Saccharomyces cerevisiae S288C: one gene and its partners. The protein of the gene in region 2 interacts with the protein of the main gene of each other region in a biochemical or structural test. Each region holds a gene or a part of one and is shown on either strand. Other genes may lie near its edges.

Region 1 (8,650 bases), on a different chromosome or scaffold from region 2:
TCAAGAGGAAGTTCGTCTGTTGCCGAAAATGGTGGAAAGTCGTTACCAAAATGGAAGCCAACCAATATACATCTTGCTTAGATTGTCTTCTGATGTTGCTTCTTGGATCAATGTTTCTGTTTGGCCAGCAACACTCAATACCAGGCCATCCTGCGGATCTATACCGCGGATTTTGTTTCTTAAGACCTTTAGCGCTTTTTGAATTGAGTGGTCCATGTTTCTATCGTACATAATTGTTTCGATCACATTCATCAACGCTACTTCATTTTTTCTCATTAAAGCCAACGTGACTTCACTAGACTTCTTAAATGTTCCTTCTGTCCCAATTATGCCCAACGCATCCAATAAATTTGGTGTTAGTCTGAAGGGAACAATTTCTGGGACAGGTAACCTTTTGCCTTTCTCAAATAAACAGTCGAAGTCTACATGAAGAACTTTACCCGTCTGTATATCTAGTAATATGTTTTCACAGTGCCTATCACCTAGACCTAATATATGGCCAACCATTGCCATGACGGCGTAAGATCTGGCATACGTATTCCTGGCGTTGAACCAATTGATTGGATCAGGAAAGTTTTCTAAAAACCATTGGTACAAGATTGGAGGAAATTTATCTACCTGTTCCATGTAAAACTCGAGTTTTCCATCTACTGCGGTGTGCTGCCACCTATCATGTAGACTTTTCAGGCTATACTTAATTTTCAGACTTTCGTACTTTGTAGAAAGAATAGATCTTAAAGTTACAACATTCGGTACCATTTCCAATATCCCACAGTCTTCTCGAAGAGATAGTACGGAGTAAATATTTATGCCCAGGCTTCTTTTTCTTGAAGCTATGTCCTTACTCAGAAGAAAATCCATTGTTGTGGCGAACTGCATATATTGGTTATCTTGTCGGACATCTTCCTTCTTACACATGATCCCATAAATGTTGCCATCTGAACCTATTATGTTCAATTGTTTTGGCTTCTTTAATGAAGAAAACACTTTATAAGATGATCCGAATCTAATTATAGAAACAACCGGCCTAAATGGTTGATAGCCCCTCATTGAGTTAGACTCTAGTGGTGAAATGATGTCTAAATTTTTTCTTACTGGAACAACCATTGCAGATGGGGCCACGTTCATGTCAAATTTGAAGTCTTTTTCTAAAGATTTGCCTGATCTACTTGTAATGCTTTTGACATCTTGCAAACAGACACGAGTTAATGCTTTCGTTAAATCCAATGCACTAGAAACTAGATCATGAGGATTTTGCGAATGTTGTCTATACTTTTCTAAAATATGCTTACCACGAAGAACTCTTTTTGAAGAATTGGAATTTACAAGGGCTGTGATATACCATAAAATATGAGAGGGGTATTCAACAGCCAAACTTAGCAGTATGTGCATTATTATCTGGGCCGATGATTGATGAGAATGTAATAACCTAGATAACAACTGAGTCAAAACAAAGTACCAAATATAAGTGGGACAATGCTGCAGCGCTTCTTCAACATGACTACATATATCTTCCGTAGCCTTACTCAGCATTTCCTTTCTGTTTCCAGGAGCTTCAGAAATTGATGCGGCCGCAATATCTAGCCAAAACGTGATAACTTTGGGCAAATTTTCTCTTACTTTAGCAGTGTTCTTTTCAAATGCCAATAAAAAGTAAGATATTGCCCTGTACTCAAAACGACCATTAGTAATATAACCCTCTGCTTTTTTGCGCTCAAGTAGTCTACTATAGTATAAGCCAATAGAGTAATATGGTTTATCCCATTTAGAATCAATCTGAAAAATATCCTGATATTGTTTAATAATTTGTTCGGACGCTGAATTGTTCGAAAGGTCTAACCATTCAGTAAACTTTAATAGCACGGCGGCACGATCGCGAGCATTAACCGAGGAATTTTCTTGATACTTTTCATGTATTTCTTGCACTATCTTTAAGGCTCTATCATTCTCACCTTGCTTCCATAGTATTTCAGCAAACTCCAACTCTGCCTGAGGCAACCGCCTTTCCAAACAATGCATTAATGATTCGGAGGCTATATCTAGCCTAGCGTTGTTTCTCGCCAATTGGGCTAAAGTGAAGAATGTTTTTCCTAAGTCAGCGTCTGCTTGTTCATTCATTTTCAATTGGTCAAATGACTTTCTCATTGACAATATGTAATGATTTGGCACGAAGTCAGCCCCAATACGTTCCATTCGATAATCGAGTATGGTAGTGTTACTTTTGTATTCAAACTTATCTTTCGCAGAAGATAAAAAACTGAGGTCATATAAACTGTGTAATTTCATCAATAAATTCTGTTTCTTTAGCAGCGTCGTCTCTTTAGATGACGTTATAAAATTTGTTCCGATAAGCCTAAAGGAATTGTGGATGTATTTTTGAGTCCTTAATGGATCCTCGTTTGAGATGGCAATTAAAGCTTTCGCAATATTGTACTGCAAAAGTACTTCTCTATCGTCAATATTTCTTAAACTCTCTATTTGTTCTACCCAATTTTTCAAAGTTTGAACATTGCCTTCTAGATTTGCAGCTTCAAGACCTATGCTGTACCATTCCTTCACATCTGGAGACAAAGAAATTTTTCCGTCTGAAGAATGGAACGAAGAGTTCGATATTATTTGAGAATACAATTGGTGGTCATACATAGACTTTAGCATCCTGGTTGTAGTTTTGGGGTCATCTGAAAATTTGCCGAGGACATTAAAGCAGTCTTGTGCGAGTTTCCAGTTTTCAGAATATTGCAATTCTTCAATTTTAGAAACCAAGTTTCCTGTAGCAAAGGTTCTCAGTACACCATCGAGTGAGTCAATGTCTCCTATTTCTTCGTATGTGATTTGTAAATTTTTCAGTAGTTGTCCATTTTGGTTCTTATCGTGAGGATTCTGTCGATAGCACTGTTCAAGGTATAGAGCAGACCTTTCAAAAGAATCCGTCTCTAAGGAGCGTTGAGCTAGCAAATCTGAAGGGGTTGTTCGCAAAAACTCATCTATTCTCAAAAGCATGTTAGTTGTTTTCGTATCTTTAATGATAAAAGTGCCGTGTAGTTTACTGTAATTTTGTTTAAACTCAGTTGCCCATTTTTTGCAATATTCGAAAACTCTGAAGATGGATTCATAGCACATTCTTAACGAATCCACTTGCAAGTTATTCATTCCTTCCAGATTGCACGTGAAAATGCTGTCAAATTCAATAATAATCCCGTTTAAAATATCAGCGTATGGAGTTCCTTTTTCTGCCTTGATAATAATGTCCAGAGAAATATAAGGTAGCAAAAAATTTGATAGTGAGCCATCATCTTCCCTAATCAAAGAGGAAAACACGTGTAATGGATGATTTTCTGTTGTACCTGTTTTCAATAAATCCAATGTAAACCTTTTCACCCAAATTTTGTATCCTTCCTTGAAGTTATTAGAAGGATATTTTAGCGGGACATATTCTTTCCATGATTGCGCAAGATACAAGGAAGATAAAAGCGGATAGATGGTTGTCTTGGAGACAGAGTTAAACTTTTCCCATAGTTTGGCTTCATTTGGATATAATTCTTTATGGTTCATATCCCATGACTCTGAACTTAGCCCGCAATATTTTAATGATTCCTGTATGACAAGGGCAACAAACAATTGCTTGCTGGGATTCTCACTTTGCCAAAACGCAGGAACGAGGATATCATTTATGACCCATATCAAGAACTTAATAGTTTGAACACTATCATTCAAATCATAAACTTCGTTTTCTGAATATGTTGTTCTTTTAAACTCATGCTTTGTAACGTCTAAAACACCAATCATACTGATACATTTGGCGCACTTCTCGCATAGGTCCTTGTCTAAATTTCTAAACTTATGAGAAGTGTCTAATAAAGCACCCAAAACTAATGTTATATCAGAAGTTTGCCCAACCTTCTTTGGTGTAAAATCAATCGATCTTTCTGTCTGCTTTCTCCGAAGATATACCTCTATATCGTCTAAATTTTGGTTTATGACATACTTGTTACTACTTTTCAAGTTATTAGCAAATATGGGTATAAGGTCCGTGGTACTTCTTATTTTATTCACCATTCTTGCAAATTGGCCATCACGAGCTAAAATACCTAATTCAGGCTTGCCTACTAAAGCCAAAGTAGTGTAAGGTTTTAATTTCAAAATCAGGTCCGATTTCTCTTTGATTAAGGTATCCAGTATACTGTACACTATATTTCGAAGTTTTCCGTTGAACTCAGACCACTTTTGAAGTATGAATGCAATTAAGCTATCTATAACAGTAGAGAGTTCTTCATCATTTAGATGGCGAACTAACAGATGCCAACATCTAAAGGCCTCGTATCGAACTTCCTTAAGCCCAAGTCCTGTTTGCAAACAAATACTAATCTGGGCTAATGCGGAAATTATTGATTTTTTGGGGGCATATATGATAAGAAAAGAAATGCCATTGATAACCCTTAACTTTTCGTAGTAAGTGGTGCGGCCTTCAACATCATGTATGTCACTCGAAAAAACTTGGAAAATACCTAAGATATTATCCTGTAGTTTCTTTTGGAACGCTTGTTCCTGATCATCCGTCCAGTTATTGATATTTTTGTACTTCGAACCATGCCTTTTGTCTTTTTCAAAATTGGTGATTAAAAATCGCAAAGAGCATAAAATCATATTAGCATTCTCGCTGTCACTTGCATCTTTAGTAACGCTGTTTTTGTAGAGCTTCGTTATTTCAGCTAAAGTTTTATAATCGGGAAGGTATGCAGTTATATATCCTTTGTCAAAAGTTGGAGCCCTATTTAAAAAAAGGGTTTCCAAGATATCCAAAGAAAATAATCCGTGTTTTACCAAAGCTACGGCAAATATTTGCCTACTGTTTTTTTTCAGTAAATTAACCTTCATTTGGTTAATTAAACTTGTATCGCCATCACACATAATCTTAGCAATTTCACTTAGCACATCGCTCTTATATTGAATAATTGCATAAGGGATGATATATCTCTGGAAAATATCGAGAATTGTTTTTGAAGAATATCCCAATAATTCTATTAAATTTTGAAAGCCAACTTTTCTTTCCACGAGGTTTTTTCCCAACTGTCTTAGTAATACAGGTAAAATAGGCGATAGTAATTGATATGGTGTTTTCTTTAAAATTTTGGCCATATTTTTAATTTGCAAAGTCATCATTATTCGTAAACTATAATCATCAGAATTGAAAATATCAATCAGTTTCAAAAGTAGTGTATCAAATACATCATTAGAAGTCGTCAATGTTAATTGTGTCCAAGCAATGACTAAATTTTCTTTCACCACTGGCAATTTTTGAGATTGTAGAAACTTTATCAGCGTGGCAGTGTGTTCATCTTCGGAATTATGAGAGTCTGATATATTGAATAAAGGTATAATTCTAGTACTTAATAAACGTAGGTATCTGTTAGAATTCATAAAGCACTTTTGTACCAGTTTAAAGCTCTTATTGATTTGACCGTTTCCATCTGTAAGTTTTGGAGGTTGAAAGTGTGAAAATATCCTATGTAGAGAAAATAAGATGCCACTTAACAAAGATTCGCTAAATTCATCTATATTTGGGTGAGATAGAAAGTTTGAATGAAGTATCCTGAAGATTTCTGATTTACCCGCAGCCTCTGGTCTATTTGGATTTATTCGCACGAAAGGGTTGCCAGTTTTCTCAATATCGCATAAATGACAAACATACCAATTATCCATATCCTTTGTGGAATTTGGCAGAGTGCCGGAAAACTTCTCTGATTCTAGACAGGCTAGACGTCCGAGAATTACAGTCCATGATGTTAGCCTTGTTATATTGTTTGTCTTGAAACAAGTTTGAATGGATACAGATGCTTCATTTAAAATTAGCTTGAAATCGTTTCCAGCTCTTTGAAAAAATCCAGGACTTAGCTGGTTCACGCGGTATTTGAGCAAAGTTCCTCTTTCTGTCTTGTTAAACTTCTTTAGTACTAGCAACCTTAGCTTTTCCAGCTGCTTATATCGATCATCAAAGGGAGAAGTGACATTTTTCAAGCTCGAGTCCGGCTCCGATTGGTATACCCAGATGTTGAACTTATTATCGTACTTTAAAGCTTCAACAGGTAGGGACCTTCTTTTCAAATCAAAATATACAATCGAGAGAGCTTTATTAGTCAACTGCGTGAACGGAAAATGTTCACTTTGTGAAAAATCTGCCCACTGGTCAATTGGGAAGTGGTCTACAAAGCATTTTGAGAAATCGTTAGAAATGCAAAGAGAATATAGTCGAAGAATTCCTTTGGCCATAGTGGGGTCATTATCCAAGAGCCCATACTTGTTATCCAAAAAATGATGCATAGTAGTCAATACAAACTTTAATTGTTCACAACAAACTAACGCTGGGGCATCCAGGGCTGTGGAAATTGTTCTATTGCAAACATAGTCCACAACTAGAGAAATATATTTGAGTTGGATTTCGGCATATTCTAGTGCTGCTAGTTCGCAGGAATCAAAGACGTAAAGAACAATCCTGATTAATCGTTGGAAGTTAAAGTCAAATTTCGTGAACCCCAAAGAAGAATCTAAGAATGCTATAGAGTTCCCAAAAGTACTATACTCCGAAGTGAACCAGTATAAAAGAATGTATAGACCCTTCAAGGTGTCATAAAATTTGAGAAGCTCAGTCTTGCCCAACAAGACTTCAGTCAAGGCCTGTTCGTAAAGATTCATGGTGTTCTCAAAATGTGCAGTAAGCTGAAACTTAGCAGGTTTTCCGTAAAATTCGACACATGCTTTGCACCAGCTGCCTAATTTTCGCCTCATAAACCATATTCTGTGGTAATTATCATAGTTCAGAACGGATATGTTGAGGAAATCATCTATCAGCCTTTGTATCTCAAAGTTCCCGTTGGAATCCTTCATAACAAGCAAGAAGGGGTTGTACTCCAACAATAAGGCAAGGGCGGAAACTGTTTTCGAAAATATAGTATCATTTTTCATGATATTGTTCCTTCTTTGATCTTTTAGGTTTCTTATGAGGGTGTTCAGGATCTTTAAACTCTTGGCGTACTCCTGAGAAGAAGATGGATCCGTGGGCACTTTTTTAATCTGCACCTTTGAATCCACCCCCGAGTTCAGGTCTTTTATTGCCAATATCAATTCGTCAAGATATTTGACGTGTGATTCCATGCAGTCTTGTGGGCCTTTACGCGGTGTATGTCGTTCTTGTTGTCCAGCCTCACTTTGTCTTCATTAATCATCTCTCTTCAAAATTGTCCGTCGGCGGGTATTTTTTTCTAGTTGACTAGTTTTGGAGCGTGCGTTCCATCTATTTGATTTATAAGGGAAAGAAGAAATTTATTTGAAGGATATTCACTATATAAATTTTATTTGTATTCTAATGCTTGTTGGTGAAAACTATGATCCATAGTTTTTTTTTTTTTTGTTTGCTTGTTTGTTTATTCTTTATTATGATAAGTACATAGTATGCTCCATATAGTTATGGAGCCTTGAAAAGGAATTCAATTTCAGTAATTAGAGTATATCAAAGCTAGGAGATTTGGGGTGGAACTTGCATATCGTTCGAAATCGATTGTGTTTGATGTTGCTGTTGTTGTTGTTGCTGCTGTTGCTGCTGTTGCTGTTGCTGTTGAGCAGCAGCGGTCGCTGCCCTCAGCTCGGCCTCGTAGTTCAGCGGCCTTTTGAATAGCAAAATGTGTGGTTCTGGCGCATGGCATTCATAATGTTCCCACCCCAAAGACTGTGTGATGCCGAGGCCTCTCCATTCGTCTTCTGTTAATATACGCAGGGTCCCCACTTCCGAATTGAAGTAATCAGATGGGATAACTTTTAGCATGGCCTTAGGTAACATCACATGCCTGTACTCATAGTTATCGTCTGAGTACCGCGGAGAATAGTGAATGGAATCTTGAAACTCCAACACGCGTGCTCTTTCTTGGTCAGTAAGCTTTCTGCCTTGGAAGGCGTGATAGTGATGGTACATAGTACTGTAAGACGAGAGTAAGTGCGTGTCAATCTAGTTGTATCCAACGCGGCCAGCAGTTCCAAGAACTTACGACAGAGTTGTAATGAATGCTACTGATGTCTGCTCTACTGCCATCCGCTGTCCTTTCATGCATAAAAGCTCCATTCTTTATTTATCTCATACCACGAGAAAAAAAAATCACCTGACATATTTTTATAACCCGCCTTTTAGACCCTAAAACAGATCTCAGGGCTCGAGTACTGTTTTATCTGAAAATTCTTCGAGCCCTCGTTTTGCACTGAGCTAAACCAAAAGAAAAATAAACAATCACAAATGGAACCCGAAACAGCACGCTGCGCAGTGTTTTTATATTTTTTTGAAACAAATGGCTTTATACAATGTGTATGTGTGATAGAAAAAATGGTATATTTCGAGTGACTTGTGATCCTATTCCCAAGCCCTATAGGAGCTATTTCAAATTGCGTGTGTGAAAGCGTGTGTGTGTGTGTGTGTGTGGAATTGTGCGGACGTTCCTCTTCTTTTATACATATAATTTTTATATATACAAAGGGTTCAGTTTGCATATGCATAGCAACGTATTTGTTGGTGTCAAACCAGGCTTTAATCATAAACAGCACAGCAAAAAGTCACGTTTCCTAGAAAATGTCTCTAGTCATTCACCAGAACTGCCTAGTAACTATGATT
Region 2 (4,386 bases):
AATTGAAGAACCGAACCATCGAATATAGAGATTTAGATGTGGAGGAGTTCTTACAAAATGTGACATTGGAAAATTTTTTCAATGATTTCCAAGATCCAGAGAATTTTAAAGATATTCCAAATATTAACCTCTGGTGTTTCCTGAGAAATTTGTCAAAATTCAAAGCTGTCAAAATAAGAATGCTGAGACATTTTTCATTATGTACACCTAGAACCAGATACGACTGGGAACTATTATTGAAGCCCGTACTGCGTGTAAATGTTCCCATTGAAGTCAGAGATAAGGACGGATTCGTTCTTTATTCTTACGGGCAAAAATAAATGACTTTTTGTAGTGGACTTTATATAGCATATTTATGCAACCAACTTAATATTCATGCATCTTACCCCTTCTTGGAACGGGTTCCATTTTCCACTCTATTTCCGGCAAATTTTGGTACTTACCTAGTAGAAATACACAAACGAATACTAAGAAATGCTAAAAAAATAATCTATATATTTTCATAGGGCAAAGAAGTTATTGTCATCAAAAGTTGGGTAGATAAAACCCTGGTCAGTCAAGGTCGTACAGCAGTTTCTGACGGTAGTTTCATCCAAATTCAAGGATTGCGAGATCAATGGAATGGGAACAGCGAATGAATTAGCGTCTTTGCCCTCACATTGCTTCTTACAAAATTCTAGAATTCTTTGTAACGGACTGGAGCCGGAAGATGTATCGTTATCATCCTTGACAAATAATGATTGCCCATTGTTGTTGGATGCACTCTCCAAAGGTTGTTTCATCATTCCACTGGCTATGGAATGACATTTGATGACTTCCAAGTGATGCGTCAACACTTCATTGAATGAATCTATGGGCTTAATCACCGCATACTGTATATTTTTCTTACCACCAAACTCTTTCAAAGCACCAAAAACTTTTACGTAACCGCCAATTTCAAATTGTTGGGCGACTTGCGAACCATAACCTTTACCAGAAGAGTCATCGTTACCGGCAGCCAAGTCATTTGCATCTTCGCTCCATTTTCTCACTTCTATTTGACCAGTTCCATCCTCAATAGTTAAAAAAATATTTGCAGTATGGTCTGTAATGTTTCTCACCACACCTACAAAACAAACGTGATGAAGTTCTTGGTTATGCGAAACGAAGGGGCCGTCCTGAATATCCTGTTTGGACTCTAGAATTTGTTTGATCGTCACAGGTGTCAAGGTGTTAACTCTAGTGTTAGTTTCCGACTCCCCACTACCTGGGCGGGACTCAGAGTTCTCAAAGCCACCGCCCGTTACTGATGAATATTCGTTATATGGTTGATAGGCTGTATTGGAATCCCATCCATTGTTAGTAATTTTAACATTCGCCAATAAAAATAAAAAAAATGATGCAGAAAAGAGCAAATCCTCCAATTCCTAGCACTAATACATACTTGCCATTATGTATATGCTTAAACTAGCCTGTTCTAGATAGTCGCTATCGATTTTGCCACATTACTTCCACCTTAAGTTGATATAATATTGCTTATTATAAAGGAAAGAACGCGTTTCCTAACGCGTTTCGTATATGGCGATAATTATCTAAGAAACTTCGCATCGTGAAAAAAAAGATGAAAATTGAAAATGGAAGCTCATCGAGGCCAAAGGAATTGCTAAAAAGAAGCTATCAGACCAGGCAAAAAGTAAACTAGTGGTTGCAAAATTATGGAGACGTTATTGCATGCAAAATTATTGCTGTCTGCAGAAGTAGAATCTCTGAAAAGTGGTTCTTTCGACCAGACATATGTGAAAAAGGCTGAACATATCATCAGTGGTGAATCATACCAGCTAGTACAGCAATTTGTGGACAAATTTAAGGGAAAAATTAGTATTTCGGGAGAAATATCCACATCTAGTGTTATTGCTGCTCTAAATGACTTTCTTAACGTTGAGGTTTTCAAAATGGGCCAAGAAAATGAGATGCTATTTTTGGCTATTGCCCTCTTACAGACCTTTATTCAAAATAACTACACCGGCCCAGCAGCTAGGTTGAAAGCAATCTCAGGTTTGTTTGGCAAAACTGGAATTGAAATAGGAGCAGTTAATACAGCCCTTTCCCGCTCATTAGCCATTATGGGCCAGCCTGCCTACGAATTTATGGATGATCCATTGTATTTGGTTTTATCACTATTATTACTTGAAAGGATAACCGGCCAAAAAAGCTTATTTGATGTTACCCCGGATCAAGAAATTCCGCTACCTATTATCTCTGCTGAGTCTACTCCTGGATTATTAGCTGTAGCTTATTGGTGGTGGGCAAGAGCTCTTTTGACGCAATTGTCACTGATTCCAGAACCTTCTGGGTTCCAAGCTAGTGTTGCATCTGCAATATATCAGTCTGCTGACCTTGCATATGCGATAACTAAGGAATTACCGGAGAGTATTCACGAAGATTTCAAAAGAGAACTTTGTGCAATGTACTATCTAGAGAATGTCAAATGTTCATTGGCCATCAACACAGAACATTTGTGCCTGCCATCCTTGACCAGAGCGAAAAAGATAACAAATTTTGAATTTGTAATGACGGGTGCACGCGCTACTAGAACTAAATATCAGCAAAAGGCTCATGCCGGTTTGATCATTCTTGCCAAATCCTTCACATTTCAAAATTTTGCTTTGAGAACGACATCTGCTACACCAGAAACATTTGCTTTAGAGTCCGATCTATTATTGGAGAAGCCTCATTTTGAGTCCATTGCTGATGAACCTCTAGACGAGCAAATTTATAGTAAAAGACAAAAGGTAGACCTAAATGAAGGTTATGAAGAAGATAAACTATTGCCATTGGCACTACGTCAAGAAAATATTCCAAAGTTGTTGCTGGATTTGAACCCTAACGATCAACCTACCCTATCTGATTACGACAACATCCAGTTGCTGTTACGTCTTTACACCATAAAGAACACAACTCCGGCCAAGGATCCTCTTGTGGAAGAAGAACTTACTGCTTTGCTTTCTAGAATATTATATCAAAACGGTGACAAAAATTGGTCTATTTTCGCCCGATCATTATGGGAAAGGTCAATTATTGAGACAACAAAGGCTAAAACTATTGAAAGAGGACTTTTACAAATGCAATCCCTCGTAGAAGAATTGGATTTGAAGATTAAGAGTAAATTGGTTCCAAGTTCAAGCGAAATCAATGTTGCTAGCAGGCTGTCATACATCCACCAGCTGCCGTTCATCCCTAGGTGGCAATTGGATGCCACCTTAGCTGAAAAATATATGTCGCTGGGTATTTTGAAGTCCGCTGTGGAAATTTATGAAAGACTTGGTATGGCATGCGAGACTGCATTATGTTATGCCGCTGTTGGAGATGAAAAAAAGGCAGAAGAAATCCTTCTTCAAAGAATAAATGAAAATGATTCGGATGCCAGGGCTTACTCCATTTTGGGTGATATAAAACAGGATCCATCCCTATGGGAAAAAAGTTGGGAGATTGGAAAATACGTCAACGCAAAAAATTCCCTTGCAAAGTATTACTTTAATCCTCCTCCAAAGTCTGGAGCACAACCAAATTACTCTGCTACCTTGAAACATTTAAATGACTCGTTAAGGCAATACCCATTAAGCTTTGAAACGTGGTATTTTTATGGTTGCGTTGGATTACAATGTGGTAAAATGCAGATAGCTGCGGAGGCATTTACCAGATGTGTTTCATTAGACCCTTATCATGCTCTTTCATGGTCAAATTTGAGCGCTGCATATACGAAAATGGATAAATTGAAAGAAGCTTATAGTTGTTTGAAAAGAGCCATTTCATGTGACGCTCAAAAGAACTGGAAAATTTGGGAGAATTACATGCTTGTTGCTGTTAAGTTGAATGAGTGGGAGGATGTCTTAACTGCATGTAAACAATTAGTCAGTATTAGGAGGGACAAATCTGGCGAAGGTTCCATCGACTTACCAATTATTGAAAAACTAGTAGAACTATTAGTGACTAGTGAATATCCAGAGGAGCCGCAGCAATTATCTTATTTTCAAAAGAGCTGTACTGAGTTTATCTGTAACACTTTACCTCAGGTAATTACAACCAGTGCAAGATGTTGGCGACTGGTCGCAAGAGTAGAACTTTGGAGGAAGAGACCATGGGCCGCCCTAGAATGCCACGAGAAGGCTTATAGGGCCATTTCTCACAATCCTGATTTAGAAGTTGAAGAAAAGGTTTGGAATGATACAGTGGATGCTTGTGAAGATTTGGTGGCTGCCTATGAATCACTTGGTGAAATGGAAGGTAAATATGGGCCAGGCAGTCTGGTTTGCAAAGACTGGAAATACAAATGTAGATCTACTATCAAAGCTCTAATGAGTAAAGGCAAAGGCAGATGGGATGACTCTCCTGGTTGGGATAGGCTAG
Region 3 (3,722 bases), on a different chromosome or scaffold from region 2:
CACCCAGTGTATTCTCCATGCTTGCAAACCGTATCACAATTGGTCTCTGAACGCGCCTCGATGTACCAATATATCGCGCCTTGCATGGCCTTTACACATTCCTCTTGCGTATCTGATATAGTTTGTTTTCGTCTTTTCGCCAATGGCCTAAACGCCAAACGTCCGGCCTCGTTATTCGTGATGCCTACTTAATGGCTCTTAAATCGAATTTAAACTAGCTCAAAAGTAATCAATTCAAACTAAAATAACATCATTGGCCATCCTGAATTGTTGGATGCCATCTAAACTGCGTATTGACCATTATTCCATCGTAACCACGGCGGTTCAATATAATATCACTTTTGACGATTAGGTGTTTTATTTACATTTCTTTTTTTTTTTCCTCGAAAAAGATCTTCAAGGATAATACAGGAATAGAACAGGAGTCTCAAAGCATTCTTGAAGCCAGATTTGCTCCAGTTTGATAGTTCCAAGAAGCGCTAAAAGTGGCAGTTCACACTTTGTTTTGATTACTAGGAATCTACTCTTTCGCTTTTTACTTCCTTCTCAGAGAATCAGCAACTGTGACATATTATAGATAATGCGTTTACAAAGAAATTCCATCATATGTGCTTTGGTGTTTTTAGTCTCATTTGTGCTGGGAGATGTGAATATTGTTTCCCCCAGCTCCAAGGCAACATTCAGTCCAAGTGGTGGTACTGTCTCTGTTCCCGTTGAATGGATGGATAATGGGGCATATCCCTCGTTAAGCAAGATTTCAACTTTCACGTTCAGTCTTTGTACTGGTCCTAATAACAACATTGACTGTGTGGCCGTACTTGCCAGTAAAATTACTCCAAGTGAGCTAACACAAGATGATAAAGTTTACTCTTACACAGCTGAGTTTGCTTCGACCTTAACTGGGAACGGTCAATATTACATTCAAGTTTTTGCCCAGGTGGACGGTCAAGGTTACACTATCCATTATACACCAAGATTCCAGTTGACTTCCATGGGCGGTGTTACGGCTTATACATATAGTGCCACAACTGAACCTACTCCCCAGACTTCTATTCAAACAACCACTACAAACAACGCCCAAGCCACTACTATTGACAGTCGTTCATTTACTGTTCCGTACACCAAGCAGACTGGTACGTCGCGTTTCGCTCCAATGCAAATGCAGCCAAATACTAAAGTGACCGCTACCACATGGACAAGGAAATTTGCCACTAGTGCTGTGACATATTACTCTACCTTTGGGTCATTGCCAGAGCAAGCAACTACGATAACTCCTGGCTGGTCTTATACGATATCATCGGGAGTAAACTACGCTACTCCTGCATCTATGCCTTCAGATAATGGTGGTTGGTACAAACCATCCAAGAGATTGTCTTTGTCTGCAAGGAAAATCAACATGAGAAAAGTATGAAAAATAGACGGCTTCTACTATCATCATTACAGTAAGGGTTGAAGTCAGGAAAGGTTAAAAATAAAATAAATATCAAAAAGTTTTTAGCGGAAGGCGTTAAGGCAGCAAGTACACATTCATTTATCTATCTATACATCTATAAACACAACTACAATTTTTTTAGAAATGGAATTTATTATATGAAGGGAAGACATATAGAGGCAACAGTACATAAAGGTAAGAATAAAAGCGATTTTAGCTAGTATATTTCTGGGTATTTCTTACATAGTCTCTGTAAAGCAACCACACCGTTTAAGCTTAAATCTTCGTTCTCCTTGAATTTGCATAGTACAGCGTCTAGAATCAAAAATCCTAGCTCGCCGTCATCATTGTTCCTGCAAACAAACTCATACCACGAGTCGATCTCAAATGTTTTATTCATAGATACACGAATATTGTTCAACGTAATCATTTCAACCTCGCTGCCGTTTTTCGATGATATGGTTGGCGATTGTAAAATCAACTGAGATTCAGTGGGTTGTGATTTGATTTGCGCTATTATCCTAAACACAGGAGCATTGACGTTGGAGATTTCTGTGGGGTCAACTCTTGGTGTTTCGCTGGCCATTTTTACTTGTGTTACTGGTAGACGATGTTCTACAAGAATGGTGAAGGGTGTGTTATATTGCTCTTTATTTAAACACGAACGAAAAAAATATCGCGTATTGCCACATTTGGCGCGTCAATATTAAAGAACGAAGGCATTATATAGGGCGACTTGTCATGATTCCAACCATGGCATGGGCGGTGGATGCTTCTCAGCAGTGGCCCATTACGTTAGTCAACGACTGTTGGCTGTCATCTGTTCTTGTTGGGTGCTTGCAGCTGCATCGACAAACATGGATGGATGCCTCTACATATATATATATATTTATGTAATGGACCTCTGAATATTTTACTATGTAACTGACTATAGGAGATACCACTGGTGCTGTAGTACAATTTAGCACTTGCAAGCGTTGACACAGTTGTTGCGAAGGCCTCTTTCTTGTAGCACTTAATTGGAGTATGACTGCCATCATGTAGGGAAATTATGAAAGCATAGGATCAATCTTGACGTTGCAAAGAAGAAGAGACTTGCTGTTCCCTATTGATCACTTACCGTTATTGGAGTTCATATGGTACTTTTTTCATAATTTTACGAGTAATCCCTAGTGGTAGTTAATATTCAGCAAATAAAATACCAGTTTGAGACCAAAGGTAAGATAAGAGTTTACTGATAAAGACAAAGAATTGGGATGACCTAGTCCAAGGGATTATAGTACCTTCGCGAGTATTGCATATAAGCTTTTAGCGATACACAAACAAAGCGACACCGGGATTTGCATATCGCTTGTTCCTACGACGTTGTCAGTTCCATAACCTCTGATTTCCCATACGGATTTTGAAAATCAGCTACGAATAGATAGTCTTTTTCTATTTTCAGTAAATGTGTCATTGAAAAAAGTTTCTTTAGAACGACGCTTTTTGCAGGCTACTAGAAACACCCACTTCTAGTAGCTTTACGTGACGAATTGAACCGCGTGATCTTGTGCACTGTTATCCTAAATGCTCAATGCTCAGAACATCTTCTTGTTATCTCAGCCTCGCCACCCTTATCTTATCATAGCGGCCTTTTATTTTCCCCTTTGGGCAAAATACGATACAGCCTTCCAAGGTCGGGCAAGAAAGTTTATGACATATAAAAGAAACGGGTACCCCAAATACGTCTCTTCCCATTGTAAAACTAATCCTGCATCATCACATTAAGGAATCATTCATCTAACAATTACATTATGATCGCCTTACCAGTAGAGAAGGCCCCTAGAAAGTCCCTATGGCAAAGGCACAGAGCCTTTATTAGTGGAATAGTTGCCCTTATTATCATCGGCACCTTCTTCCTCACTTCGGGTCTCCACCCAGCACCACCTCATGAGGCAAAGCGTCCACACCATGGAAAAGGTCCCATGCACTCACCCAAATGTGAGAAGATTGAACCATTAAGTCCATCATTCAAACATTCCGTCGACACAATTCTTCATGACCCTGCCTTTAGAAACAGCTCCATTGAGAAACTGTCCAATGCTGTTAGAATCCCCACTGTAGTCCAAGACAAAAACCCCAACCCCGCAGATGATCCGGATTTCTATAAGCATTTTTATGAACTACACGACTATTTTGAGAAGACTTTCCCTAATATTCACAAGCATTTGAAATTGGAGAAAGTCAATGAGCTGGGTCTTCTATACACATGGGAAGGTTCTGATCCTGATCTAAAACCATTATTGTTAAT

The links.
Region 1: of the proteins of RFA2 (region 2) and MEC1, one has a biochemical effect on the other in vitro, tested with the Saccharomyces cerevisiae proteins (6 studies listed by BioGRID).
Region 3: the proteins of RFA2 (region 2) and RFA3 form a complex in vitro, tested with the Saccharomyces cerevisiae proteins (3 studies listed by BioGRID).

What each region holds. Positions count from the first base shown.
Region 1 is NC_001134.8:504,167-512,816, reverse strand, and holds MEC1 (protein kinase MEC1), read right to left. Parts: upstream 7,150-8,650; coding exon 43-7,149; downstream 1-42. Other genes in the region: cyclin-dependent protein kinase regulatory subunit CKS1, read right to left, coding at 7,511-7,963; HSL7 (protein arginine N-methyltransferase), read left to right, coding at 8,530-8,650. UniProt on the Saccharomyces cerevisiae protein: Serine/threonine protein kinase which activates checkpoint signaling upon genotoxic stresses such as ionizing radiation (IR), ultraviolet light (UV), or DNA replication stalling, thereby acting as a DNA damage sensor.
Region 2 is NC_001146.8:45,331-49,716, reverse strand, and holds RFA2 (Rfa2p), read right to left. Parts: upstream 1,431-4,386; coding exon 1,424-1,430; intron 1,316-1,423; coding exon 501-1,315; downstream 1-500. Other genes in the region: putative SCF ubiquitin ligase complex subunit SKP2, read left to right, coding at 1-320; tetratricopeptide repeat-containing protein EMW1, read left to right, coding at 1,695-4,386. UniProt on the Saccharomyces cerevisiae protein: Binds to single-stranded sequences participating in DNA replication in addition to those mediating transcriptional repression (URS1) and activation (CAR1). Stimulates the activity of a cognate strand exchange protein (SEP1).
Region 3 is NC_001142.9:94,512-98,233, forward strand, and holds RFA3 (Rfa3p), read right to left. Parts: upstream 2,019-3,722; coding exon 1,650-2,018; downstream 1-1,649. Other genes in the region: SWI3 (Swi3p), read right to left, coding at 1-19; KRE9 (Kre9p), read left to right, coding at 581-1,411; CPS1 (Gly-Xaa carboxypeptidase), read left to right, coding at 3,226-3,722. UniProt on the Saccharomyces cerevisiae protein: As part of the replication protein A (RPA/RP-A), a single-stranded DNA-binding heterotrimeric complex, may play an essential role in DNA replication, recombination and repair.